7 linked regions of the Macaca fascicularis genome follow. The protein of the gene in region 2 interacts with the protein of the main gene of each other region in a pairwise test. Links are inferred from orthologs where the notes say so. Each region holds a gene or a part of one and is shown on either strand. Other genes may lie near its edges.

Region 1 (3,794 bases), on a different chromosome or scaffold from region 2:
GCAGCACTGTGGGGTGTACAGCAGTCATGCGGGCTCACCTCAGCCCGTCACCTGCCTCCCACTTCCCACAGCTTCCACCTGCCTTTTGCTCTCCCCCTTATCCCCATTTCCCTTGACTCCTGTTGGAGGGGGTGACCCAGTTCTCTTGACTTTTCCCTGGGTGGTGAGTAAGGAACCTCTAAGGAAGCAAAGGGACAATTGCCAATCTCTAAGTCACTCTCATCAGAACCTGGTCCAGGCTTCCACACGTCTGCCTTCTTTTTTTTTTTTTTTTTTTTTTTTTTTGAGACGGAGTCTCGCTCTGCCGCCCAGGCTGGAGTGCAATGGCCGGACCTCAGCTCACCGCAAGCTCCGCCTCCCGGGTTCACGCCATTCTCCTGCCTCAGCCTCCCGAGTAGCTGGGACCACAGGCACCCGCCACCTCGCCCAGCTAGCTTTTTTTTTGTATTTTTAAGTAGAGACGGGGTTTCACCGTGTTAGCCAGGATGGTCTCGATCTCCTGACCTCGTGATCCGCCCGTCTCGGCCTCCCAAAGTGCTGGGACCACAGGCTTGAGCCACCGCGCCCGGCCACCTCTGCCTTCTATTACTTTTTCCCGGTGCTTTGGATCAGGCCCTGAGTGTGGGTGCCTTACCTTGAGAGAAAGCAGAGTCTGCAGGCCCAGGCAGAATTCAGGACTCTCAACATCTGCAGGAACCATTTGAAAACAGAAGAGGCTGAGGGTTCCCAGCGGTCACTGCTCCCCTCCTCTCAGCCCTTGCTCCTTCTCTGCCCACCCCATCCCCAGATCCGAGGGCACTGGCATGGAGATGAGGGATGGTCAGAACATCTCTGGGGACTCCTTGTGCTGCAGGGACTGAAAGTCTCTGCCTTTGCCCCACCCTGAAGAGAAAGGTGAGAGGCGAGCACCAGGGCTGTTGCAGAAGGGGGGACTTACCCACCACCTGTGCCGAGCACACCACGGTCTCCTGCCCCAGCTGTAGCTCCAACTGCTCCACCTGGGTTGGGGGCCCAGGGGCCAGGTCCCCAGCTGAGGCTTTTAGGACCTTCTTCTCTAACCTGTGGTTGGGAAGCAAAGGTTATAGCTACCACAGCCCCCAGTGGGCTTCACCCCATTAATCAGCAGACGTCCCGCTCTACTATGGGTTCACCTCCAACCCCTGACCTCACGTGGGGTCTAAATCCTTGCCTTCTCTGCCAGAGTCTTCTAGCCACTCTTTTGTTAAATAACAGCTTTATTGAGATAAAATATGCAACTGTCGTCACTATCTAATCTGAGAATATTTTCATCAGCCCAAAAAGAAACCCTGTCCCCCATTTGCTTTTTTGGGCCACTCTTACCCCAGGCGGCTGAGACATCCAGCAGAGATCCGATTGTATTGGGTGCCTGTGTCCAAGGCCACTCTAAGCAGCAGGTCCTGGCACTGAGAAAGAGGGATTGTGCCGAATCAGTGAGTCCCTAGGAGAATGGGTTGGGATTGGGTCCTTCAGTTTCCCAGCCCACTGATGACTCCCTTTTAGAAATGAGTAGAGAAAACAAACTGTCTTTAAAACAGACTTTTATCGGGGCCAGGTGCAGTGGCTCATGCCTGTAATGCCAGCACTTCGGAAGGCTGAGGTGGGTGGATCACCTGAGGTTGGGAGTTCAAGACCAGCCTGACCAACATGGTGAAACCCTGTCTCTACTAAAAATACAAAATTAGCTGGGCGTGGTAGCATAGGCCTGTAATCCCAGCTACTTGGGAGGCTGAGGCAGGAGAATCGCTTGAACCCAGGAGACAGAGGTTGTGGTGAGTCAAGATCGCACCATTACACGCCAGCCTAGGCAACAAGAGCAAAACTCCATCTCAAAACAAACCCAAAAAAACAAAAACTGGTTTTTATGAGACTCACACAATAGGGGCAGAACTCCCGGATAAATCAAAAAAGGAAGTGGGCTAGGTGAGGTGGCTCATGCCTGTAGTTCTAGCACTTTGGAGGCAAGAGGATCACTTGAAGCCAGGAGTCCAAGACCAGCCTGGGCAACACAGCAAGACCCTGTCTCTACAAAAAATAAAACGGGGGAAAAAAAAAGTGGTTATATGTGATATGTTCATAAGTTTGGGGAAGATCTGCCAGAAATGGAGAAATGGTGATCTATCTAGAGGAATCCTTGGGAGTTTGATGGCCTCCTGGTTCAAAAACTCCAGGTTAGGAATAGAGGAAGGATGAGAAGACTGGAATCCCCTGTTAGGAAACTCAGCTATGGGTAACCAAGAAGTTTGCCATTGGAAACAAAGGAGGACAAGTTCACCTACTTTGGGACATAGACATTTTGATATAAACTTGGATATACACACAGGTCATTTTCTCATTTCAAACATTCGTTGAGTATCTGCTATAAGATATGTTACAGGAAGGTACATCAGTGAATGCTATTCTTTAGGAGTCTAAAGGAAGTAAAATCTAACTCTACTATATGGCAGAAAGGTTTTTTTTTGTTTTTTTTTTTTTTGAGACGGAGTCTCGCTGTGTCACCCAGGCTGGAGTGCAGTGGCGCGATCTCGGCTCACTGCAAGCTCCGCCTCCCGGGTTCATGCCATTCTCCTGCCTCAGCCTCCCGAGAAGCTGGGACTACAGGCACCCGCCACCAAGCCCGGCTAATTTTTTTTGTATTTTTAGTAGAGACGGGGTTTCACTGGGTTAGCCAGGATGGTCTCCATCTCCTCACCTCGTGATCCGCCCACCTCGGCCTCCCACAGTGCCGGGATTACAGGCGTGAGCCACCACCTGTAGAAAGCTTTAAGGACTATTAAGGACTATAAAAGGATGTGAATGTCCTGGCCCCATGGCCCACACCTATGTATAATCCAAGTACTTTGGGAGGCCAGGGTGGAAGGATCGCTTGAGGCCAGGAGTTCAAGACCAGCCTGACCAATGTGGTGAAACCCCCATCTCTACTAAAAATACAAAAAAAAAAAAATAGCCGGGTGTGGTGGCACACACCTGTGATTTCAGCTACTCAGAAGACTGAGGTGGGAGGATCGCTTGAGTCCAGGAGGTTGAGGCTGCAGTGAGCTCTGATCATGCCACTGCACTCCGGCCTGGGTGACAGAGTAAGACCCTGTATCTTAAAAAAATAAATAAAAGGACTGGAAAAGTCAGGGAGCACAGTGGCTCACACCTGTAATCCCAGCACTTTGGGAGGCCAAGGTGGATGGATCTCCTGAGGTCAGGAGTTCGAGACCAGCCTGACCAACCTGGAGAAACCCCATCTCTACTAAAAATGCAAAAGTAGCCAGGCACGGTGGCATTTGCCTGTAATCCCAGCTACTCAGGAGGCTGAGGCAGAAGAATTGCTTGAACCCGGGAGGTGGAGGTTGCGGTAAGCCGAGATCACACTTGCAGTCCAGCCTGGGCAACAAGAGTGAAACTCCGTCTTCAAAAAAAAAAAAAGGGCCGGGCGCAGTGGCTCACACCTATAATCCCAGCACCAGGAATTTGAGACCAGCCTGACCAACATGGTGAAACCCCGTCTCTACTAAAAATACAAAAATTAGCCGAGTGTGGCAGTGCGGGCCTATAATCCCAGCTACTTGGGAGGCTGGGGCAGGAGAATCGCTTGAACCTAGGAGGCAGAGGCTGCAGTGACCCGAGATCGCGCCACTGCACTCCAGCCTGGGTGACAGAGCGAGACTCCGTCTCAAAAAAAGAAAAAAATATTTAAAAAAAGGATGTGAGTAACATGCCTTAGAGGTTGGGAGGCAGGAAAGGCTGTTTCCTACTGGGGAAATCAGAAAAGGTTTCAAGGAGGA
Region 2 (3,794 bases):
GAGCCACCGCGCCCGGCCCTGTTTATACTTTTATACTGTGACACCAACGAGGTGACAGCACCCACCCCAGAGCAGACAACCCTCCCAGCACCTTACACGCAAGGCTGCCCACAGATGTGGGTGAAGCACTCCTGGCTGGCATTCAGATTCTCCAGGTGCTAGAGGAAAGCCAAGTGCACAGGCCTCTCTGGTCCCTGCCTCCACCTCCACCAAAGCAACTCCCCGCGGAATTATATAGATTGACATTCCGAAGAAGATCTTAACAGGAAAACAAAAAAGAAGGTCCGTGCCTTTAAGCCTGTACCCACTAGATGATTCCGCTCAAAACTCTGAAACTTAAAGATGCAGAATTGTCCCACAGTTCTAACAGGAACCTCTCACAGGTCCTAGGCAAAAGCAGTCAAATCTGATCTACCCAGTGGGAAATTATCCAAAGCCAAGGACTACTGTCGGCTCACAAGCAGCACATGGCCCTGCCTTCGGCCTCATGACTCCTCAGAGGCAGGGAGCGCATCAATCATCACCACCTAAGCCTTTGCAGATGAATTCTCACGTAACGAAACTTTTCAAACTCCATGCCCGCAAGTGCCTGTGGTTAGTCAAAGGTTCCCAGGACCTCAGTCAAAGGCTCTTTACTCTCACTGGAAACTGGTCATCACACCAGGCCTGGAAGAACAGAGAGAGACCCTCGCACTTATTACTCTAACTTTTTAGTTTGTTGAGAAGAAAACAAGTCCAGAAAGGTTACGGGACTTCTCTGGGGTCACAGAGCTAGTTTCGTCATAAGGGCAGCAGACAGGCATGCAGTAACTCCAGTAATGACTCCACAGGTAATGGAACAGCAAGTGACATTTATTTTCTTCTTTGTACTTTGCTGCTTTTTGTATGTGTTGCTTTTTATAATTTTGTATGCATTACTTTTAGAATTAAAATAACTCCTTGTTCATTTTTAAAATATCACCATCAAGCTGGGTGCAGTGGCTCACGCCTATAATCCCAGCACTTTGGGAGGCCGAGGTGAGTAGATCACCTGAGGTCAGGAGTTCGAGACCAGCCTGGCCAACATGGTGAAACCCCTGTCTCTACTGAAAATAGAAAAATTAGCCGGTCATGGTGGCAGGCGCCTGTAATCCCAGCTACTCGGGAGGCTGAGGCAGGAGAATCGCTTGAATCCAGGAGACAGAGGTTGCAGTGAGTCAAGATCATGCCACTGTACTCCAGCCTGGCGACAGAGCAAAACTCTGTCTTAAATAAACAAATAAATAAATAAAGACATCACAATCAATCAACTGCAATGACAGGCCTTATGCAAGTCACAATTTTTGCATTCAGACAGGTAGAGTTAGCACAAGCCATGGTCGGTACACATCAAGTCAGATGATCCTAGAAGTCTTTCTTTTAAATAAAAATAAGGAGAAATTGGAAAGACATACACATCAACAATTTAAAAGCTGCTACAACCAGTAGGATTGTAGAAAATTTTTATTTCTTCTACTTTCTTGACTATCCTGTTAAACTTTATTAGATGTATACTTTTGAGATGAGGAAAGTACTTTAAACCCACAATGAATGCAAACATGCGTGACACACCAAGGTACCTGCAGCTGTGCACACCTTCTCCTGGGTCCAGACTGCAGGCTTTGTACTGGGCAGGCCAAGGAGCTCTGCGCACAGTAGGCTTTTAACAAATACTCAAGAAATCATAGTTCTCAGGCATTTAAGGAACAGAGATGGAACAAAATCAAGATTCGAAATTATTTCTCTAAGCTTTTTTTGGGCCACGGTCTATAAAGAGAGATTTATTGGGGAAGTAGGCTGTCAGAACTTTAATGGTTCTGAAATCACTGGAAATGATGTAACTGGAACAGTTTTCTTTTACAAGATTACAGTGTATGTTTTCTAAAGAAACTGTCATTTGCCTTCTAAACTAGAAACAGGGATTTGTAAAATAATGTGCAGTGATCGTGTGGAAAACTAACCAACAGCACTCCTGAAATGCTGCCTTCATGTTCCCCTGGGACTGCTCACCTCACCCCAAAACTATTTCTATTGCCCTCCCCTTCCAGACTACAACTAGTCTCCACATGTAGTTTTCTCGACTAACAGAGCAAACAGATCATAGGAATGGACATCAGACTTCCTTATGAGAGTTCTGAAAATTCTCTCTTCTGGAGGAATAAATTGTCAGCCTTTCAATTCGAACATTCCTGAAAGAATAACCAGGCAACCGAAACATTCAGTGACTTAGCTGTGGTGGGCTTGTCACTTCAAACTTAACAGAACAATAAAACACATGCCACTTTACAGAAAAAAAAAAGAAGACGACGACGAAGAAGAAATCTCTTTAAAACAGTAAGTGTGGACAAAGTGTTTTCACAGATGAAGAGGTGAAGTTCCTGAAATTTAAGGTTTCATTTCTCAAGGGTCTCCTTTAAACAAGTTTATTATTTCAAAGTAGACATGTGCCTTTAACATCATTTTTTAAAATTACCAGCCTTAGCAAAGGTGTAGAAAAAAACGTGTTCTCAAGCACTGTGAGTGGAAGAATTAGTAAAACATTTCTAGAGAACCTCTCAGTGTCTTAACAAAATTTTAAACACACATAGCAATTTTCCTTCTGGGAACTTCTCTATTTGCCAAGATACATATGCAAGGATCTTCCCTATAGGGTTGTGTATAAAGGAAAAATCAGACAGACTATGCCAGGAGCCCCTGAAGGAAAAAGTCAACTGTGGAGGGGGCACCTGTGAATGAATTCTGCGGAGTTGCTAACAGAGCTGACTTTTCACACACAACATGGTAAGGATCCACGACGCCACACACAGGGGATTACACATATATCATGGTAAGGATCCATGACGCCACACACAGGGGATTACACATATATCATGGTAAGGATCCACGACGCCACACACAGGGGATTACACACACAACATGGTAAGGATCCACGACGCCACACACAGGGGATTACACACACAACATGGTAAGGATCCACGACGCCACACACAGGGGATTACACACACAACATGGTAAGGATCCACGACGCCACACACAGGGGATTACACACACAACATGGTAAGGATCCACGACGCCACACACAGGGATGGGGCAGGGGAGAGGGTGTAGAACACACACACACACCCGAGCAGCAGGAGCAGAGACAGCCCTCGAGACAAAGTGTGACAGGGGCCCCCTCCAGAAGGAACATGGGGCTGAGGCTGCAGGGGCGAGGGAAGGGAGGGGCCGACAATGTTCACATCTCTAGGATTCAAACTTTTTCATATACAGCATGCATTACTTTCACTTCTGCTTAAAGAAAAGAAAATAACTGCAGCAGCTTTTGGTTTTTCAAGAGTAATGAGAATAATATTTCACCTACTGTCCCACAGCTCTGTACCTGGGTGGTCAGGGCTCAGGTCTTCCACTGCAATCTGAACCACATCCGCCAGGTCGTGTTCAGACATCATCCAGAGCACAGGAGAGTGGCCGGTCAACACGCAAGAGTTCCACTCGAAGAGGGGCTGGCTTTTGGTCACCTACCAAACAGAAGCAAAGGAGGAGGAGAGGACATTAACCATCGCCACATGTGAAATGATGAAAACCACGAGCCGTGCACATGTATGCAAGAGGCCGAGAATGTCTGTGGATTTTTACATGCAGGGTTCTTCTTGCCTCAAACCACCAAAAGGTAAGTTTCTTTGAAAATTAACAAATAGTTGAAAACGCCACCCGCTGCCTCATTCCTTAACCACTGGACAAGTCACCCAGGGCGTCTCTATTTCCACTGCATTCCT
Region 3 (4,244 bases), on a different chromosome or scaffold from region 2:
CCTGACCCCCGGGAAGCTCCTGCTGCAACACCTACCCCCAAACCTCTGACACAGCAATACCAATGCTTGCGAAAACCGAGCGTGGCACATGACTGAAAAACATTCATTTCACCGAGAATAATGCCTTTCTCTGGGAAGGGAAGCTCCAAGTCCTGGCATGTGTGTTCCTGCCCTGGACCCGTCTTCCTCCTCCACCTCCGCCGCTTCTCCCTCTCCCCCTCTTATCTCCCACACCAGTGCTCAGGGGCATGCAGGGGACAAGGTCAGAGACCACTGGAATATGCTGGTTCTTCAAAGCCTTCAGGGCCACCCCCAGCACATCCATCCCCCAACCCAGCTCTGCCTTGATAGACTCCACCTCCCAGTCCCCTGGGCAGGGCCTGCCACTGGCCTGGAGTGGCAATGGGTTGGGGCTGGACTTCCATGTGCAGTGAAGCCTGGATACAGGGCTAATGCAGGGGGGGCAGCCTGACCAACAGAGCAACTGCAGCTGCCCTGCTCAACACCTTCCTCATGCCAGGCATCTTCACACACCCACAAGGCAGCTCCTGCTCTCATCCCCCCTTACAGAAAAGGAAACCACGTTACCTGGCACATGAAGGAAGGGATCACCCTGTGGAAGGTGGAGCCTTTGTAGCCAAAGCCCTTCTCACCAGTGCACAGGGCTCTGAAGTTCTCTGAGGGTCAAAGGGAGACACAGGTTAACACGGCCAGGCCCCAATTCCCGGGTCATACCCATTCCAGCCAAAATCCCTGCTACATCCCCAGCAGTGAACAGGGGGATAAAGACCTTGGCACCTCTTGGGTCTGCTCTGCCCAACTCGCTATGTAACTGGACAAGTCACTCCCCTTCCCTGACCTCAGTACCTGAGCACTGTGACAAGAGTACAGGCTCATGGCTGTGCTGGCACCAGCAGGGCAGCGACTCAAGGGCTATGTGCGCACCACCCTGCCTCATTGGGGACCAAGAGTGGGGAAGTCTCTGGGAAATTTACGTGTGCCTTCCACCGGCTCTGAGGCTCCCAGCTACTATGAGAGAGGAGGGCAGAGCCAACGTTGAGGCCCAGAGAGGGATGGGAAGAGCTGCCCCAGGGCACCCAGTGGCTGAGCCACACATGGAGCTCCCATTCGTCAGGGGTCTCTGAGCCCCGATTCTTCTCACTACGCCACCCACCTTGCCCTGCCTGGCCCCCTTCCCATCTCACAAGGCCCCACGCCCTGTCTTACCAGCTGTCTTTGGGACGACATCTGCCTTCAGCTGTTGGGGGAGAAGAGGGACAAAAGTGGGTGGTCATTGGAGAGACAGGTGAAGGTGGATGTCTCTCAGCACCCACCCACCCACCCCCACAGCGGCCAAGGAGGCTGAGGAAGAAGCACGTGGACATTCCATTCCCATTATTGCCAACCCGCGTAGGTGGCAGCTCTATCATTTCTGGGAGCCATTTCCTGAACCCAAGGCTGGAGGAGGTGGCCTTGGTTTCCTAATCTGTCAGAAGAGATGACAATGCTATCTTGGCCTACTTCTGTGGACACAGCTGGCACTGCTCCCACAGCTGGGCCCAAAGCATCAGAAACTCGGGCAAGAAAGTGGGTCTAAGGTAGGAGCCAGACCAGCTCTTTGATTTGGGGATGGTAAACTGAGGCCCAGGGAAAGGCATGCTCCCAGGGAGGGGCAGTGCTCCTACAGCTGGGCCCAAAGCATCAGAAATTCAGGGACAAGAGAGTGGGTCTAAGGCTCCTCCATTCGGGGTTGGGAAACTGAGGCCCAGGGAGAGGCATGAGGGTGTGGGGAGGGAAGGCTGAAGCCCCATCCCAGCCAGCCTCTAGCCTCGAAGCTGCAAGACCCACCCTTGAACCAAATGGAAGCAGGAAGGGTGTCCCTATTTTCCAGAAGAAACTGAGACTGAAAAAGAAATACCAAGGGCTCCCTGAGAAAAGGGCCAGTCAACACGAACTGACCTCTGCTGTCAATGTGAGGCCGGGCTGAAGGCTCCACTAGGGCTTTCCCTCTAAAGTTACCCTGATGACTGTTTCTTACTTTGCTTTATAAAAGACCCAAAGAGTTTGGGCAGGTGCTGAGTGTGACTCCCAAGGACGGTGGCAGGGCAAGGTTCCGGGCACACTGCCTCTGAATGTGTCCCAGCTCGCAGGAGGGGCATTCTGGGGTCCACCAGGTGGCCGGGCCCGAGGCCTACTGGGCCCGCACTGCTGCTGGAAACCACTTCTCGCTCCATTTCCCAGCACCCCGAGTGTGAGCCCGACCGCGGGGGCGGGGTCGGGGCCAGGGCGCGCTCCGCGTTGTGCAAGGGCCGCCACGTGAGCACCCGCCGGGCCACAACGCTCACCCCAAGCCCCCCGACACCCACCTCAGAGCTCCGGATCTAGGCTCAGCCCCAGAAAACTCCTGGAGCCCCTCTCTCGTCCCGGGGCCGGCCCAGGGGTGCTGGGCCCTCCCTCTCTGCGATCTGACCTTGAGCTTTCTCCTCCACACGTGCCCTCCCTCCCGTCTCCCCGGCTCCAGTGCTCCGAGGCCGGAAGAAGCCATTCCGACGCCCATTCTCAAAATGGGGAAACTGAGGCCCAGAGCCCGGCAGGGGGAGGCCCAAGGTCACCCAGCGCGCCCGGCACCGCGCCGCCCAAAGCCCAGGGCTCTCCCCGGGCCCGTGTCTCGCGCCCAGGCCGGCCCTGCGAGCGGTCTCACCTCCAGCACCACGCGGCCGAGCGGCTGCCCGTCGGCGCCCACGTCCAGGTACACGAGCGGGTTCCCGGAGGAGGAGGAAGAAGACGGGTCGCCGGCCCCCTTGCTGCAGGCGCGGGCCGCGGGGAGTCGCAGCGGCACGGAGCGCGGCACGGAGAGCAGGCCGAGCCACCGGGGGCCGCAGCGCAGCGCCAGCATCGCGGGCGAGGGTCGGGCGGGAAACGGGCAGGGAGAACACACAACTCTGAAAAAGAGGTCGCGCGCGCCCAGAAGGCCGAGTCCCGCGCAGCCGCGCGCAGCAGCCTTTATTGGCCTGGCCAGGTTTGCGGCCCCGCCCTTGTCCCGCCTCCTCCGGGCCTGTCCGTGGGCGACCCCTGCCGGCCGCAGCGCGCAGCGCAGCCAGCCGGTGGGGCCGCCGGGCGTGAAATGCTTTGGAACACTCCCGCCTCCAGGCCCAGAGACCCGGAGAACAGACACCACCCGGCAAAAGGATGCTGATTCCATGTTTATTAAGGTACCAGCAGACTTTTCTTAAAAAGGAAAAACTGCTAAAACGTAATTAACTAAAAAATATGAGCATCTACACGTTGCAATTTGAATATAATAACAAAAGTCTACCTTTGAGCCCTTTATAGGTAAGGCTCAGGGCCCTTTATAGGTAAGGCTCAGGCCAAATAAGCTTCCCTGCTGCCCTAGGTCCTGCAGTCCGAGAGGGTTAGAGAAAGGTGAGATGAGAGGCGGGATTAGTGAGCCAGAGGCGAAAGAGGGAGGAGATAAGCTGAGACACCTCCCATGATGCCCCCTAGCCTGCTTGTCCCGGCCTGGTCCTGTCTCTAGTTATTTCTAGGGACCAGACCTGCTTCCAGCAAGACTGAAAACGCAGCCTGGGCTCATCATGCTCCTTCCAGGCCCCCAGCCCTCCCCAGGACTGGTTCTGATCCCTCCTCCTAGGACCCACACTGACAGCCCCCGTACCCGGCCAGCCAGGGCAGCCACCTGCCCCCTCCCATCAGCATGCACCCCGGGAGGGGACTTAGTGGGGAGACCCACAGCAGGAGCATTTAAGCCCCATGTGCTGAGAGTGGGCTTCCCAGCAGCAAGAGCCACCCTCACTGCAAGGTGGTGGGAGGCCTGCAATAAATGGATGCCAAGCAGGGACTTGAGAGGGCATCTGGCCCAACACTAGTACTGTCCCCAGGGGAAGCTGAGGCCTGGACACGGGAAGGCACTGGCTAGGGCTGGGGAGCCCTAGAGTCCTGCTGCCAGCTTGCGCCAGTGCTCCAGGCCTCTCTGGGCCTCAGTTTCCCATCTGGAGGGTAAGGGTGTGATCATGCTCCTCATTCTGCTTTTGTCTCAGGTCTGTTCTTAGGATAAAATGAACTAGAGAGAGATGGATTTGTCAACTAAGTACTGTGCCTGTGGGCATCTGTGATGGATACAGTCTGGACTGTCTTTCTCAGGGTTTGGGATTCAGAGAGCAGTGGTCTCAGAGCCCTGAGTGGCCAGAGAAAGGGGTGGGGCTGAGCCTTGGAGGCAGGTGGGCTTG
Region 4 (3,369 bases), on a different chromosome or scaffold from region 2:
GGCACAATCAACTTGTCGTCCTCTCTGGGTTACTGGGCAGGGATATAGAAGGAACCAGAATCTGTGGCCAGAGTCCTCTCTCGGGTAGAGCTGGGCTCCAGGCCCCTCTAGCTGCCAGGCCCTCCCAGGAACCTGCCTGGCCCTTCACTTTGGGAAGGGACCTTGGCCCTTGGGGAAATGCATTTTTGCCAGACTGTAGCCTTTTGGAGGGGACTGAGCCAAGGCCCCACTGGCTCTCCTCTCTAAGCCTCTTGCTAATGGGCTCTGAGGCCAATGCCTTCCTCCAGGGGTTGGGGAGGTGGGTGGAGGAGTTAACTTGCTGGCTGAGGTCACTGCTGTGACTTGGCTCTTTGTATCTGATTTGTGTACAGGCAAAACTGGCTTACAGAAGAAAAAGGCAGGAACACCTGCACTGGGCCCTGGCCCTTGGAGGTGCTCTGGGGGCTCGTGCCAGTGTCGTGAGGTACATGTGGCTGCGGCCCCTTTTGGGCACGTGGCCTGGGTTTGCTGAGGGTCAGGAGGGTAAGGTCCTACCTTGATCCCAGTGTGGATCGCTCTGAGAGACCACAGCTCCCTCCTCTGGAGTCTCCTCTCCGAGCTCTCCAAGGGAAAAGACAAAGGAAGCCGAACTGCCAAGTTGAAGATTTTGCCTCAGGCAACTAAATTTATTAGCAAGAAAAAATTTTTGTCAGCCCAGCGCTGACCAACAAAGTACGTTAATAAAGGATAACAAATCTGTCACTTAATTCATAAAACATACCTCAAGCAGTTACAACTAAAAATAAAGTTGGATTTTTGTTTAATTTAAAAGCCTCAAAAATAACAAGCAATATGTTTTTAAACATGTAGTAGACACAATTGTCTATTATACAATATACACTGTACACAAGTAGAGCTTGGGCCGGGCAGGGGTGAGGTGAAGGGAGAGGGAAGAGGTGCAGGATGGGCAGGTGCTGTTATCTGAATCCAGATTTGAGTTTAAATGCTGTGTCATTTAGAAAAGGGAATTGCTAGAGTGAGAAAAAAATTCATATGCTCATCATTGCCCCCAACCCTCAACTGAAAGCAGGCATTGGGGAGGTGAATAACAAGGAAAGGAAGAAGGGAGCAATTAAATAAAACTTCTTTAAAGCACACACAGTACACAGTGTTCATCATCTGAAGTAGAGAGTATAAGGCAACGTTCTCCATAGAAAAAGAGGGGGATCAGGAGGAGTCGGTGGGTGTCTTTACTTTTTAAACAGAGCTGGAATGTGCTGGAGGAGAGGTTGTGGCGGGGCTGGGCACATGGAGTGGAGGTGGCCCCGAGTCTCTCCAGAGGTGGGTGCCAAGCCCCAGGGCGTCCACAGTGGCCGGCAGGGCCAGGGAGGTGCAGGAGAGTGGGCATGGCACGATGCGACTCCGGCAGTGTTGGGAGCGGGGATTGGGGTGGGGGGTGGGGGCTCACTTTGCTCCTCGACGGAGTGAAATGCATGTTTTTCCTTTGGAAATAAGGGTTCCCACGCGTCCTGGTTTAGAACGTCTCATTGGGCACGGCCAGTGTCCACAGTCTGGGCAGGCCGGGAGCTCGTGGTGAGGGGAAGGGCCAAGGCGGAGCCAAGGGGCTTCAGAAGGAGGACAGGGAGCAGAGCCCCTTCCTGTGGGGACAGTTGCAGAACAGGAGTGGGGCTGAGGGCAGGCCCAGGGCAGCCACAGGGCTCCTTTCCACCAGGGGCCCAGGGAGGACACAGGCGGGGGATTGCATCTTCAGGGCCTCCCGCCGCAGTTGGCCTTACAAGTTCTTCGTGACCAGGTGGGTCTTGTAATGCTTGGTGAGGTGGTCACTCCTCATGAAGCGCTTCTGACACTGGGCGCACTCGAAGCGTTTGTCCCCTGGGAAGAGGAGATGCCCATCACCCACATACCCTGGGCACAGACCCTGTCTCTGCCCAAAAAGGTGGGGTGTGTGTGAGGGGCACCCAAACAAGCTGACGTAGCCTTGTCACCACATTCTGCCCACCTCCTGCTCTCACATTTGCTCCCTGGTGCCTACTCATCTAAATCTTTTTTTTTTTTTTTTTTTGAGATGGAGTCTCACTCTGTTGGCCAGGCTGGCATGCAGTGGTACAATCTCCGTTCACTGCAACCTCCACCTCCCAGGTCAAGCAATTCTCCTGCCTCAGCCTCTCAAGTAGTTGGGACTACAGATGCCCGCCACTGCGCCCAGCTAATTTTTGTATTTTTGTAGAGAGAGGGTTTCACCATGTTGGCCAGGCTGGTCCTGAACTCCTGACCTCAAGTGATCCGCCCACCTTGGCCTCCCAAAGTGCTGGGATTATAGGCATGAGCCACCACACTTGGCCCCCTACTCATCTAAATCTTTTTATCAATTCTCATTTCTCTCTGCCCCCATTTGACCTCTGCAGTCTATTTTGTTCCCATTCCTTGTCCCTGGAGCCCCTGCACCTAAGAGTCTTCCGTGCAGGGTTGTCCGCCTGCTTTCTTCTTCTGTCTCTCTGACTTTGAACCTGGATCAGCATCCTCCCCATCGCAGGAAAATCCCGCTCCACCCTGACCCTGCCAGCCCTGAGCACTCACTTAGTTGGAACCATGTTGACCCCAACTGCTTTCCTGTGGAGTGCTGGCTCCTCTGCCTTTTGAGGAGTAGGACCTGTCTCACCACACTGGCCGGGAGCTGGAGCTCTGGGTCAAGCTTCCCTCAGCCCTCTAGCCCCAGGACAGGTGTCTGCTCACTGCAGGCATTCACTATAGCAGTGTTTGCCAAAGTGTGTGTGTGGACCACTGTGGATACCCAGGACAATTTCAGGTGGCAGATGTATGAACTTTTTTTTTTTAAGAGATGGGCTCTCGCTATATTGCCCTGCCTGATCAAACTCCTGGGCTCAAGTGATCACCTGCCTCAGCCTCCCAAAGTGCTAGGATTACAGGTGTGAGCCACTGTGCCCAGCCTGGATCAATATTTTTAATAGTTTTGCATTGATTTGCTAGTACCTAAAACTATAACTGTGATATCTCACTTTGGGAGGTAGAAGAGGGAGGATCAGCTGAGCCCAGAAGTTTGAGACCAGCCTGGGCAACACAGTAAGACCCTGTCTCTACAAAAATTTTAAAATTAGCCAGGTGTGGTGGTGCACGCCTGTAGTCCTAGCTACTCAGGAGGTTGAGGTGGGAGAATTGCTTGAGCCCAGGAGTTCAAGACTGCAGTGAGCCAAGATTGTGCTACTGCACTCCAGCCTGGGTGACAGAGTGAGACCCTGTCTCAAAAAAAGAAAAAGAAAGAAAAAAAGCTGTGGCAGGGCCTGGGTTTGAACCTGGCTGCACCAGTCACCAGCTGTGTGACTGGGCCACTTCTCCATGCCTCAGTAAAAT
Region 5 (4,314 bases), on a different chromosome or scaffold from region 2:
AAGAGATGGAAAGTTCAAAAGAGTACCTACCTCATACAATAATTGTAGAGCTTAAAGAAATGATTACATCTGAATTGCAGGGAATTTTTACAAATCTGAATTATTACCATAGATGTTTAAATATCCCATTTAATCATTCCAACAACCCTACAAAATGTGTAGTATTAATCTCCATTTGGCAGATGAGGAAACCAAAGTTTAGATAAATTAAACCGTAACAAATTCTTCAAATGTCATGGGGCTGAAATGGAATCTGAAACCAGAGTTATCTGACTCCACCAGCACACTGCCTTTATTTTAAGAATAGCTCATTGTGTTCTATTTTGTTGACAATTAGGATATTGTTTATTCATCTAAGTCAGTGGTTTCCTATCTCTTTTCTCAATAGCAGAAACACACTTTTCAAATTCAGCCCTTCTCAGAACTCCAGTAAGTAAAACTGATAAAAGCTAAACAGCTCTGGCTGAAATGGATTTTGGGGCCCAGCAACCAGCCCACTTGACTCCACGGTACCCCTGAAGCACCTTGAGGTATATGGAGCATAGTGTGAAATCCCAGATTGAAGCCGCCAACAACAACAACAACAACAACAACAACAACAAATCCCAACCTGAAGAAGTACAAGTTAAGGGCAGCCTGATTTGTATAATGCATCTTTCATTTCACTGTCTCCCATCACATCGGATCCTCATTATCAACTCTGAGGTGGACAAGGCAGTGCATATCATCCTCAATTTGCAAATGAGGAAATAAAGGCCAAATGGAGTTAAGCAGCTGGCCAAAGGTGCACCAGTTCAATTTTCAGCCAAGTGCAGACTGGAAGTAGAGTCTGTCTCCATTAACTCCATGTGACCTGGCAAAGAGGGTGCCATCTACTGGAAATTGCTACTGACCCTTGGTCCACGAAGTGGACAATCAGCTCCTTGGCCACTGAGAGCTGAGCACAGCCCTCCTGCCAAGGCCCTGTCCCGGAGCAGATGGCAATGAGCAGGGAAGAAGGGCTCAATGCCACTGAAGGGCCTGACAGCAGGGTTTTGGCTGTAGATAGGCCATTCCTATCTGAGCCATGTCGTGCTGAGCACAGGGCAGGGAGGCAGGACTAGCCAAAGTACCTTCCACCTTCATCTGCAGTAAGTAAATGAGCCCACAGAGGGACAGCAGGTAGTGCAGAGGTGGGTGTCCGTTACACTTTGCATTTCTTCTTAGCTCTTGCTTTGGCATCCCTGAAACCTGAGGCAGCTGATAAATGCCTGAATGGCTCCCCAACTCCAGAGCATCTCTGAACTGAGCTGTAGCATGTGTTGGAGCAGGCAACACTTAATTATCGGTTAGTCTTTAATTAGCTCTTAATTATTAACACTTAATCCATCTGTAAAATGGGGACACTAATACCTGCCTCATAGGGACTCTGGGAGCATTAATTAAGTTTACAGTCCACTTTGAAGATGCAAAATGTGAAATAAGTGCTCAACAGTGGTATTAATAACCACAGCAGATTTACCTTCTTTTCCTAATGAGGTCCCTTTTTCCTCTCTGCTCCTTCCTTTCCTTTCGAATATCCATCCCCAACAATATCTGCCCAACTTTGCCCTGATGGAGAAACACTTAGCTCTGTGTTTCCCAGACACAGGATTTCCCATCCAGGAAACGGGCTATTTACAGCCATCTTCCCGCACTTTAATTTTCTATTATGTCCTCTGAATATGTCAGTGCCTTCCCAGTAAATATTTTGATGTGTGCTCTTGCAGCAGCTTCTGTGGAGGCTGAATGGGACAGCTGCTCCCTGTATTAGGGAATTCCAGATGTGATTTAAAACCATCAGTCTCATCCATGTGAATGCCTAGCCTTTAGGTGGGAGAGGGGAAGGATCTTCTAGTTGCTTCTGGGGAAAGTCACGAGCCATGTAACCCTTAGCCTTGGCTAGGGTGGTTTTTCAAGGACCTCAGATTCACATGCGTTTAGGATGAGAGATGTCTGCTTAGTGGGCTAGTGAAGAGGCAGCCTGGAATATAGCCCTAATCTGGCTCTTCACCCACGAAACATCAGAACCTTGGTCAGCTCTTCTATAACGCTTGGACAAAGGACCATGGAAGGGGCAATATACAGCCTTTAGGGTTTCAGCAGCCTCAAGGGTGGGCCAGAACATTCCCCTAGAAGGTCAGACTTCATCTCCTCCCTCCTCCCTTTCTGCCAACGGAATAGGGGGGTACTCACTCTTCTTGAAAGCTGAGCTCATTGCCTCTTAGAGTTCCAGCCACGGGGACAGACAGCTGCTCCATGGAGGTCCAGGGCTGTGAGGCTTCAGGCAGGCCTTGAACTCTCTTCCAGATTTCATGGCAAGTCTTGTCTAGGCTGTCTTGGGGTGTGTCCTGGTGGATCCAGATGTATCTGGGGAATGGGCCCAGGGCGCAGGGGCGCTTGGCCACCAGGGCCGAGGATGAAGGAAGCCCATTCCCACTTGCCATCCTCCTCCGCTCTTTCTGGAAGCCCCTCTGTCCACCCAGGGCTAGAAGACATCCACCACCACTCCTCATTCACCAGAAAGGGAGATGAGGATGGGTCTTGGCAGAAGTGGGTCAGTTCTGTCTGGCTGTCGCTCCCACAAGGTGGTTAGGTTCAGAGGCCTTCGATTTGTGTGGGAGGGGTGGGTGGAGGACAGTTTTCTTTTGGGGAGGGGAGGGCTTATTTTGATTTGTTTTTATTTCCTCTTTCCTAACTTTTGCCGCCCTCCCCCTCTCCCTCAGAAGAAAATATTTAAAAGTCAACAAAAACCAGTAGCTTAGGAACAGTGGAATGCCCCGGAGCTCAGGAACCAGGCGCCTGGGCGGGCAGAATGACATCTGGGAACAGCTGGAGGGGGAGGGCTGGCTCTCCCCACAGTCCCTGGCACTGCCCCCTTGCGACGCCGCCGTGACACCTTGCGGCGCCTGGGCTCAGCCCATGCTGGCCCGCTAGGACACGCGGAGAACTGGGTGCGGGCCTGACACCATGGTAGGCACCCGGGGGGCGGGGCCCCGCAGGAAACGCTCGCCTGGGCGTTCCCAGGGAGCCCCTCGCAGAGCGAGCGCCAACGGCCCGGTCCCCGCCGCCGGCCCAGTTCTTGCTTTACTCTCGCCCTACCCCACCTGCTCCTGGTCTCCCGCTGCTGCTCTGCCGCCCCGGGAAAGAAGGGACGAGGCGTGTGTGGATGGGCCCACAGCCCTCAGTCCCGGCCCCCAGCAGACCCCTGCCCTGGCCGCGCCGCGCTGCGGGATGGGCACCGGGAAGGGCCCAGCAGCTCAAGAGCGCGCTGACTCGGCAAGGCAGGCTGGGCCGGGCGGCTCCCACCAATTTGCCCTGCCAATGGCTCCCACACCCTCGCAGTCGTCGAGCGGGGGAATTCTTTCTGTGGGTTTCAAACGCAACGGCTCGGTGCGCGGGACGCCCTGGGTTCGGAGCCCAAGACCCGCCGGTGGGGTGGGTGGGGGTGGGGCCCAAAGGACCCCAGAGCGCTTCGGCGGATCAGAAGTCAAAGCCAAACGCGCCGCCGCCCCACTTCACCGCTCCACACAAACCTCAGCTCCTGCCTGGGGGGCCCCCTCATCCTCGAGTTTAATCCTAACTGCCATTTTATGGGGCGCTTGCCCTGTGCCAAGCGCTGGGCTCACATTCAATCCTATCAAAGCTCGTGAAATTAGTACCACTTTTTATTATCGTTCTAAATGGGAGGAAAGCGAATCTCAAAGTCATAAATGATAGTGTCCAAGGCCCACTAAGAAAAGGGGAGCTGAGATTCAGACCCCAGCACTCTAGGCCTGATCTAGCCCTTGAGCACTGAGACTGCTTCAGTAGGTGGGCAGGAGCAGGGGTAGGAGGTCCGAGGTGCTGGGAGAAGGGCTAAGTTAGCTGTTTACTGATCAACAGGCCCCTACCCTCACTGAAGCGGCTTCATTCAACTGGGCACTGACACAGTACCTCCTCTGAGGGAGACTTTCTGGTCCCAAGAGTCAGGGCGTTGTTTCTTTAATAATACTCCTGGAAAGGAAGAGCAAGAGGGTGGAGAAGGAAGAAAGAAGAATGGACACAAATAGAAGAAGATGGCAGTCTATAAATGCAGGGCTGGGTTGAATCCTGACACTTCCCCGCTGTGTGACCCTAAGAACTTTCTGAACTTCTCCTATCCCCATTCATAATTCCCCCAGTACTGATGCAACCCCTCCTTTGTGCCCGATGAGTTGCTGGGCACTGAAGAAGCATAAGGGTGGGCAAAAGTGGCATGGTCCCTGCTCTCATGGAGCCTGTATACTAGTGAGGGGAGATCGATGCAAACTAGCC
Region 6 (3,794 bases), on a different chromosome or scaffold from region 2:
CCCTTCCTTTAAGTCTTTGTTCAAAAGCCACCTTCTTCTGGGCCTTCCTTGACTGCTCTACTTAACATTTCAGTTTTCTCAACTGCAATGTATCCTCCTTCTATAGACCTAATTTCAGCAACGAATTGGAAAACAATAGTTATGAGACACTCGGGAGACTGTAGCACTACCTGGATACATGATATCAAGGCATGATTGTTCATTTATCAAGGTATGCTAATTGTATTGTGGAATTTTATTATTTATTTATTTATTGACAAAGAGTCTCGCTCTGTCACCCAGGCCGGAGTGCAGTGGCACGATCTTGGCTCACTGCAACCTCCACCTCCTGGGTTCAAGCAATTTCTTGTGCCTCAACCCCCCCAAGTAGCTGGGACTATAGGCACATGCCACCACGCTCTCCTTTTTTTTTTTTTTTTCTTTTTTAGTAGAGATGGGGTTTCACCATGTTGGTCAGGCTGGTCTCAAACTCTTTACCTCAAGTGATCCACCTGCCTTGGCCACCCAAAGTGCTGGGATCAGGTGTGAACCACCTCACCTGGCTGTATTGTGGGTTTTTTAAAAATAATTTTTCAAAAAAGAGATATACCTTTAAATATTTAGTGATGAAAGGATAGGGTGTCTGTGGTTCGTTTTAAAATATTGCAGTAGTATAACCATACAATGCAATACTGTTTGGCAATAAAAAGCAATGTAGTGACTGAGAGCAGGTGGCTCATGCCTGTTATCCCAGCACTTTGTAAGGCCCAGGCAGGAGGATTCCTTGAAGCCAGGAGTTTGGTATCAGCCTGGGTAACACTGTGAGACCTCATCTCTACAAAATTTTTAAAAATTAGCTGAGTGTGGTGGCAAGCACCTGTGGTCCCAGCTACTTGGGGGGCTGAGATGGCTTGAGCCCAGGATTTTGGGGCTGCAGTGAGCTATGATCATGCCACTGCACTGTAGCCTTGGCAATAGAGTGAGAATTTGTCTAAAAAAAAATCAATCAATCAATCAATCAATAGCAATGTAGTAAATGTAGTACTTCTACATACTACATCGATGAACCTCAAAAACATCATGCTCAGTGAAAGAAGCCAGACACAAAACGATACATATTGTGTGATTCCATTTATACGAAATGTCCTGAAAAAGCAATCTACAGAGAAAAAATTAGATTGGTTATAAACTAGGGCTGAGATAGGAATGGATCTGGACCCAAGATTTCTTTTGGGGGTGATGGAAAAGTTCTAAAATTAGATTGTGGTGATGGCTGCACAAGTAGGTAAAGATACTAAAATCAGTAAGCCGTACACTTAAAACAAGTGTATTTTATGCCACATGAATTATATCTCAATGAAGGTGTTAATAAAGAAAACATTCAGGCCGGGTGTGGCGGCTCACGCCTGGAATCCCATCACTTTGGCTGAGGTGGGAGGATCACTTGAGCCCAGGAGTTCAAGACTGGCCTGGGCAACATGGCTAAACCCTGTCTCTACAAAAAACACAAAAAATTAGCTGGGCATGATGGAGTGCGCTTGTAGTCTCAGCTATTTGGGAGGCTGAAGTGGGAGGATCCCTTAAGCCCAGGAGGTTGAGGCTGCAGTGCAGTGAATTGTCATTGTGCCAGTAGACTCCAGCCTGGGTGACAGAGTGAGACCTTGTCAAAAGAAAGGAAGAAAGAAAGAAAGAAGGAGAGGGAGAGAGGGAGAGAGAGGGAGAGGGAGAGGGGGAGAGAGAGAGAGAGAGAGAGAGAGAAAGAAAGAAAAACATTCTAGTGATTCTAGTGGAGGACATGAGTGGGGCAGAGATGAGTCAGACTGGCCAGAAGTTGATATTTGATTGAAGGAGGGTGGCAGGGTGATGGGTACCTGAGGTCTTTGTACTATTCTTTCTATTTACACATTTGAAATTTTATTTAACAAATACTTTTAATTTAATTAATTTGTATTTCAAAAATGTGTTCCAATCCCACAAAAAGAGTTCTCTATAGAGCTCCAAGGAAAAGCAGAGTCACAAACCAGCCAGTGAATCACCTCCTGAGAGGCCTCAGTCCCCGGGAGCCTCTCCCACATGGCTGGCACTTCTCCTGGATTTGCTCTCTTAGTCCCCAGATCACACCCATCCTGAGGCTTTAGCGAACAGGGTGCATTATAGGTTTGAGGTCTTGGGATCCTGGGTCCCTAGTGGAAGAGATGCTGGAGGCTGCACTTTCCTAAGACCCAACCCAGAGGGCTCTGCAGCGCACACTCACCCGTGACGCCCACAGCGGACACCGGGCCCACACGCCGCCCCTCGTGGAGGCCGTACAGGTGCATCTTGTACTTGTTCCCGGGCTCCAGGCCCCCTACAGTGACCTCGCTCTCCTCGCCCCCGACACGCACCACCTGGGGCCGCCCGTCCCTGTCCTTGTACTGCACGGTGAAGGAGTCGAAGCGGCCCTGGGGGACGGTCCAGGAGAGGCTCAGCGAGTCAGGGGAGGATCCTATCACTGTCAGCTCCCCCAGGAGCGGCTCCTCGGGGGGCTCCGGGGCCTCCGTGCTGGGTTCTGTGGGGCTGGGGGTCTCTTCCTCTGCAGCTGAGAAAAAAAGGACACAGAGAGAGTGAGGCAGGGTCCCTGGGGGATGTCCTTGGGACTTGGGGAAAAGGAGGGAGAACCCAAGGTTATGACTGGGGGACCTGAGGTCATTTCAGAGAAGCCCATTCTTGGGGCTGGGTGGTCCTGATCAGCTAACACATGACAAGTTCCAGGGTCAACTGTGGGGGACCTGGGACAGCCACCAGCACAGCAAAACTCCCGACGGCCCCTCCCTGCTCAGGAGGAGCCAGGGGTCAACCTCACAGGAAGGCCCAAGGGGAGCCCCAGCCCCAGCCACAAGCAGGTCTGTGGTGCTGACCAGACCCCTGTCACATTCCCCACCAGTCATCACCAAAGAACAAGAGGGTGGCCCTCCCACAGCACCCACCCTGTGGCTCCCACTGTTCACTCACCCGTCACCCCGATTGCAGACACAGGGCCCACGCGCTGGCCACCATGGAAGCCGTACAGGTTCATCTTGTATTTGTGGTCTGGCTCCAGGCCCGAGATGGTGACCCCGTCCTCATGCCCTGGCACCCGCACAGCCTTGGGCCGCCCATCTCCGTTCCTGTACTGGACCAGGAAGTGGTCAAACTGGCCCTCAGGAACTGTCCAGGACAGGCTGAGGGAGTCGGGGGTGGCGTCTGTCACGGTCAGCTCCCCCAGGTGAGGCGTGATGGGGGGCTCGGGGGTTGCGGTGGGAGGTTCCGAAGGCTCCTCCTCCTCCGGGACTGGACAGAGACATGGAAAGAGAGGACTGAGGTGGGCAGGGTATCTGCGGGACTCTGCTCTCCTCTGGACTCTCCCACCATCTGAAAGGAGGCACAGTGGGCAGAGTTCTCACCTGTCAGGGCCTCGACATGGACAGGACCCACATGCTTCCCATCGCGGAAACCATACAGGGTCACCAGGTATCTGTGGTCGGATTCCAGGCCAGAGAGGGTGATGTCATTCCGGTCACCTCCTGTACGGACCGTTTGGAGTTGCCCTTCTCTATCTGTGTGCTGGATTTCGAAGGAGTCAAATTCTCCCTCAGTCACCATCCAGGAGAGATGCAGGGTGTGCGGCGTGGCCTCCTCCACTGTCAGCTCCCCGAGGCGGGGCTCAGGCGCTGGAGGGGTCGGGGCCGTGGTCTCAGTTTCCGTGTCTTCCCTGCGGGCTGGTTCACAGAGACAGGTAGAGACAGATGGCCGGTCTGTTGCTGTACCCAGACTCTCAGGAGAAGTGAGGGAGGAGA
Region 7 (4,460 bases), on a different chromosome or scaffold from region 2:
GGGCAATTAGGTGGAAGTAATTGAGAGGGGGCCGGGACCAGAGCCTCCCCGCCTGGCTGCTGGCTTGCCGAAGCCTCCGACTCTGGAGGGGGGCCCTTTTGTGAGGGGATGGGAGAGCCACAGAGGAGCTGTCTTCCTGGTCCTCAGCCTCCTCCTCTTCTGTGAGCTAGAGGAGCACAGAGTAGGAACTGGTCCTGACTCCTCAGCCTCTACTCCAGGGTGCAGTGGCAGGAAGGGGGGGTGGTCTAAGGCCACCATCTGGGCTTCTCCCCAACCCAAGCATGAAGGTAATTTCTGAACCCATTCGCCTTTTGCTATGGCTAAGAGAGCAGAATTGTGATGGCTCTTCCCCATGCCCCTCACCTACTGCCCAAGTCCGGCTCCCACCCCCAGAGATCCATACCTCCCAGGTGCTGGGGGAAAAGGCAAAGCGCTTCCGAGGGGGAGACCACTTGCTGGAGGACCGGGACAGTGATTCCACCCCTGTGGCTTCTGAGCAGCTGGCATCTTCCTCCTTCTGTGGTGGCTGAGACAAGGGAAGTGTGCTTGTCAGATCCTCCCTCTTCCTAGGTCCTGGGACCTCCAGTTTTCCAGGGGGATACACGATGTTGGGGTTTACCCACATCCAGAGGTTGGGTTCATAATCTGGACCTGTGCAGAACAAAAGGAGATTGTGTGCCGCAGCCCACTGGCTTTGGGTGCCCTTGGTCTCCAGCCCAGGTCACAGAAACAGGTCAGAGAACTCAATACTTACCATCCTTATCAGGGTTGGGTTTTTTCTCTAGGGGTAATTTTGGTGGCTTAACAATTCGGAGTTTATACCTGGCAACTGGCAAAAAGAAAGAGAGAGTCAAAACATCCTAGGATATCCCTTTGTGACCCTAGGATCCTAGGCATTAAGGCTTCTCTGGGAGAAGGTATTGTGGGCCTTGCCTGGGGAGTTAACATCACATTGTACTTCTACTGGTTTTCCCTTTACCTCTCTGACCTTCTCATTCCCCTCTGCATTCTTTTCTTCTCACTCTACATATACTGTCCCTGAATTGATCTCCTGCATGCCCGTGGCTTCAGTTAACATCTATAAAAAAAATGTAGAGCTCTCAAATCTTCACCTCTAGCCTAGCATTCTGTGCTAGCCCTTAAGGAGAACTACTTACTGGATATCTTTACTTGGGTAGCCCACAGGCACTTCAGACGGCTTCTAAAACTGAATTCCATCTTGTTGCTCTTCCTCCTGTATTCTTGTTTTTTTCTGAGACAGGGTCTTGCTGTGTTGCATAGGCTGGAGTGCAGTGGTGTGCTCAAGAGATTCTCCCACCTCAGCCTCCCAAGTAGCTGGAACTACAGGTGCATGCCACTACGCCCCATTAATTTTTGCAATTTTTTTTTTTTTCCAGATGGAGTCTTGCTCTGTCACCCAGGCTGGAGTGTAGTGGCGTGATCTTGGCTCACTGCAACCTCCGCCTCCCGGATTCAAGTGATTCTCCTGCCTCAGCCTCCCGAGTAGCTGAGATTACAGGTGCCTGCCACCACGCCCGGGTAATTTTTGTATTTTTAGTAGAGCTTTCACCATATTGGCCACGCTGGTGTCTAACTCCTGACCTCATGATCCACCAGCCTCAGCCTCTCAAAGTGCTGGGATTATAGGTATGAGCCACCGCGCCCGGCCTAATTTTTGTATTTTTTGTATAGATGAGGGTCTCACTATGTTGTTGCCTGGGCTGGTCTTGAACCCCTGGGCTCAAGCAATCCTCCTGTTCAGGCTCCCAAAATGGGATTACAGGCGTGAACCACCATGCCTAGCCTTCCTGTATTCTTTGTCTCAGCAAGTGGCACCACCATTAACTGATTGTTCAGGACAAAAACTATTTTTGCCCCCTCACTGTCACTATGAGTGTCATTATATTACAGATGAATCTAGGCTTTTGTTTGGGAAATGACATACTTATCGGAGAGCTTAATTAGAGAGGATGCCTATTAGGTTGCTAATATTCAACATAGTACTCAAAAAAGGAAAAAGTAGCAAAAGATATAAACATAGGGTTTTTTTTTTTGAGACGCGGTCTTGCTTGGTTGCCCATGCTGGAGTGCAGTGGTGTGACATTGGCTCACTGCAATCTCCACCTCCCAGCTCAAGCAATCCTCCCATCTCAGCTCTGAAATAAATAACTTTTTTTTTTTTTTTTTTTTGAGGCGGAGTCTCGCTCTGTAGCCCGGGCTGGAGTGCAGTGGCCGGATCTCAGCTCACTGCAAGCTCCGCCTCCCAGGTTTACGCCATTCTCCTGCCTCAGCCTCCCGAGTAGCTGGGACTACAGGCGCCCGCCACCTCGCCCGGCTAGTTTTTTGTATTTTTTAGTAGAGACGGGGTTTCACGGTGTTCGCCAGGATGGTCTCGATCTCCTGACCTCGTGATCCACCCGTCTCGGCCTTCCAAAGTGCTGGGATTACAGGCTTGAGCCACCGCGCCCGGCCTGAAATAAATAACTTAAAAGACTTGAACAAAGACTTATAATACATACTATTAAGATGCCAGTTACCCTAAAATGAATCTATAAGTTTTATGCACATATTATAGTACAAAAATTAAAGTTTGGCCAGGTGCGGTGGCTGATACCTGTAATCCCAGCACTTTGGGAGGCCAAGGCAGGTGGATTACTTGAGGTCAGGAGTTCGAGATCAGCCTGGCCAACATGGCGAAACCCTATCTCTACTAAAAGTACAAAAAATTAGCCGGGTGTGGTGGCGCTTACCTGTAGTTCCAGCTACTTGGGAGGCTGAGGCAGGAGAATCACTTGAACCTGGGAAGCAGAGTTTGTAGTGAGCTGAGATCATGCCACTGTACTCCAGCCTAGGTGACAGAGCAAGACTCTCTTAAAAAACGTTCAAACATAGTAAAAATCACCATAAGCAAAAAAAAAAAAAAAAAAAAAAAAAAAAAAAAAGCAAACTTCAACCCAAATTTCTTTCTTTTTTTTTTTTTTTTTTTGAGACAGAGTCTTGCTCTGTCACCCAGGCTGGAGTGCAGTGGCGCCATCTCAGCTCACTGAAAGCTCTACCTCCCGGGTTCACACCATTCTCCTGCCTCAGCCTCCCGAGTAGCTGGGACTACAGGCACCTGCCACCACGCCCAGCTAATTTTTTTTGTATTTTTGTAGAGACGAGGTTTCACCATGTTAGCCAGTATGGTCTCGATCTCCTGACCTTGTGATCCGCCCGCCTTGGCCTCCCATAGTGCTGGGATTACAGGCATGAGCCACCGCGCCCGGCCTCAACCCAAATTTCTCAGTTCTCTAATATATACAGAGCTCCTACAAATCAGTATGTAAAAGGTCAACACAAACTTACAAATGGGCAAATGATATGAATCAGCATTCACAAGGAGGGGATAACTGAATGGCTAACAAGATGATCAGTATTATTAATAAGAAAAACACTGTAAGATAATGAGATAATCAAATTGACTAGAGTTATAAAGATAATACCAAGTGTTGAGAAACATGCAAAGAAATAGAATCTCTTATTATACTGCAGTTCTGAGTATCAACTGGAGCAGCCCTTGTTAAGAGCAATGAGGCAGGACTACAATTTACCTTACTGTTTGCTCCTGGATGTATATTTTCAAGTTAATACAGGAACTTATATACTAATCAATCTCCATTGTTACTATCATCTACTGACCTCCTGTTTTAGCTCCTGACTTACTGTCACTCTCCAACACTACTCCTGCCTTAAATCTTGGTTGCTGGCCAGGTGTGGTGGCTCATGCCTATAATCCCAGCACTTTAAGAGACTTAGGCAGGCGGATTGCTTGGGCCCAGGAGTTTGAAATCAGCCTGGGCAACATGGTGAAACCCCATCTCTACAAAAAATACAAAGATAATAGTCTAGCCGAGTGTGGTGGTGTGAGCCTGTAGTCCCAGCTACTCAGCAGGCTAAAGTGGGAGGATGGCTCGAGAGGGAAAGGCGAGGTTGCAGTGAGCCAAGCTCACGATACTGCACTCCAGCTTGGGCAACAAAGCCAGACCTTGTTTTGAAAACAAAAACATGATCTTTGCTGTTTATTGAACTCTTCTCCAGCGAGTCTGACTTCTACTCTACTGTAGACACTCCCTCAGTCATAACCTAAACTAACAACTGCAACCTCTCCATAACCTCATTTATGCACCACATAAAAATGCACCACCTTGTGTCTTTCTGGCTAACTCCCTCAACCCCAACTATGATCCCACTGAGATCACCAGTCCACTGAATTATGGTTTTGGCTCACTCGTTTGGCAGAGGTGGATTTAGTCAGGGTTGTGGTTTGGCCAACAAAGTGCTCCAAAGCCACAGACGATCCAGGGAACCTGCGTAATATTTGACCATGGGATTCAAGTTAGTTGAATAAGGGTAGACACATCAAGTGACTGAAACAGTGAAAAGGTAGGATCAATGGACTGCTGATCTCATTGCGACCCAAG

What was found.
Region 1: the proteins of BANP (region 2) and NRIP2 interact in binary tests that used the Homo sapiens proteins (3 or more experiments, as listed by UniProt). The two-hybrid records come from large-scale screens. The link is inferred for Macaca fascicularis from reciprocal best matches to the Homo sapiens genes BANP and NRIP2.
Region 3: the proteins of BANP (region 2) and PPIF interact in binary tests that used the Homo sapiens proteins (3 or more experiments, as listed by UniProt). The two-hybrid records come from large-scale screens. The link is inferred for Macaca fascicularis from reciprocal best matches to the Homo sapiens genes BANP and PPIF.
Region 4: the proteins of BANP (region 2) and SP2 interact in binary tests that used the Homo sapiens proteins (3 or more experiments, as listed by UniProt). The two-hybrid records come from large-scale screens. The link is inferred for Macaca fascicularis from reciprocal best matches to the Homo sapiens genes BANP and SP2.
Region 5: the proteins of BANP (region 2) and C1H1orf94 interact in binary tests that used the Homo sapiens proteins (3 or more experiments, as listed by UniProt). The two-hybrid records come from large-scale screens. The link is inferred for Macaca fascicularis from reciprocal best matches to the Homo sapiens genes BANP and C1orf94.
Region 6: the proteins of BANP (region 2) and TNXB interact in binary tests that used the Homo sapiens proteins (3 or more experiments, as listed by UniProt). The two-hybrid records come from large-scale screens. The link is inferred for Macaca fascicularis from reciprocal best matches to the Homo sapiens genes BANP and TNXB.
Region 7: the proteins of BANP (region 2) and FOXR1 interact in binary tests that used the Homo sapiens proteins (3 or more experiments, as listed by UniProt). The two-hybrid records come from large-scale screens. The link is inferred for Macaca fascicularis from reciprocal best matches to the Homo sapiens genes BANP and FOXR1.

The regions. Positions count from the first base shown.
Region 1 is NC_088385.1:3,698,470-3,702,263, forward strand, and holds part of NRIP2 (nuclear receptor-interacting protein 2), read right to left. Parts: intron 1,425-3,794; coding exon 1,342-1,424; intron 1,060-1,341; coding exon 938-1,059; intron 688-937; coding exon 635-687; intron 7-634; coding exon 1-6. UniProt on the Homo sapiens protein: Down-regulates transcriptional activation by nuclear receptors such as NR1F2.
Region 2 is NC_088394.1:83,878,908-83,882,701, reverse strand, and holds part of BANP (protein BANP), read right to left. Parts: intron 3,537-3,794; coding exon 3,380-3,536; intron 259-3,379; exon of another isoform or gene 143-258; coding exon of another isoform or gene 97-142; intron 1-96. UniProt on the Homo sapiens protein: Controls V(D)J recombination during T-cell development by repressing T-cell receptor (TCR) beta enhancer function. Binds to scaffold/matrix attachment region beta (S/MARbeta), an ATC-rich DNA sequence located upstream of the TCR beta enhancer.
Region 3 is NC_088383.1:67,129,335-67,133,578, forward strand, and holds the start of PPIF (peptidyl-prolyl cis-trans isomerase F, mitochondrial), read right to left. Parts: upstream 2,980-4,244; 5' UTR 2,897-2,979; coding exon 2,702-2,896; intron 1,259-2,701; coding exon 1,228-1,258; intron 678-1,227; coding exon 589-677; intron 1-588. UniProt on the Homo sapiens protein: PPIase that catalyzes the cis-trans isomerization of proline imidic peptide bonds in oligopeptides and may therefore assist protein folding. Involved in regulation of the mitochondrial permeability transition pore (mPTP).
Region 4 is NC_088390.1:58,807,229-58,810,597, forward strand, and holds the end of SP2 (transcription factor Sp2), read right to left. Parts: intron 1,873-3,369; coding exon 1,772-1,872; 3' UTR 638-1,771; downstream 1-637. UniProt on the Homo sapiens protein: Binds to GC box promoters elements and selectively activates mRNA synthesis from genes that contain functional recognition sites.
Region 5 is NC_088375.1:200,805,185-200,809,498, forward strand, and holds the start of C1H1orf94 (uncharacterized protein C1orf94 homolog), read right to left. Parts: upstream 3,019-4,314; 5' UTR 2,535-3,018; coding exon 2,215-2,534; intron 1-2,214.
Region 6 is NC_088378.1:139,646,433-139,650,226, reverse strand, and holds part of TNXB (tenascin-X), read right to left. Parts: intron 3,717-3,794; coding exon 3,402-3,716; intron 3,289-3,401; coding exon 2,971-3,288; intron 2,558-2,970; coding exon 2,234-2,557; intron 1-2,233. UniProt on the Homo sapiens protein: Appears to mediate interactions between cells and the extracellular matrix. Substrate-adhesion molecule that appears to inhibit cell migration. Accelerates collagen fibril formation. May play a role in supporting the growth of epithelial tumors.
Region 7 is NC_088388.1:117,848,453-117,852,912, reverse strand, and holds the start of FOXR1 (forkhead box protein R1), read right to left. Parts: upstream 2,848-4,460; 5' UTR 2,833-2,847; coding exon 2,751-2,832; intron 1,342-2,750; exon of another isoform or gene 1,219-1,341; coding exon of another isoform or gene 1,158-1,218; intron 830-1,157; coding exon 755-829; intron 652-754; coding exon 404-651; intron 167-403; coding exon 1-166. UniProt on the Homo sapiens protein: Transcription factor which acts as both an activator and a repressor.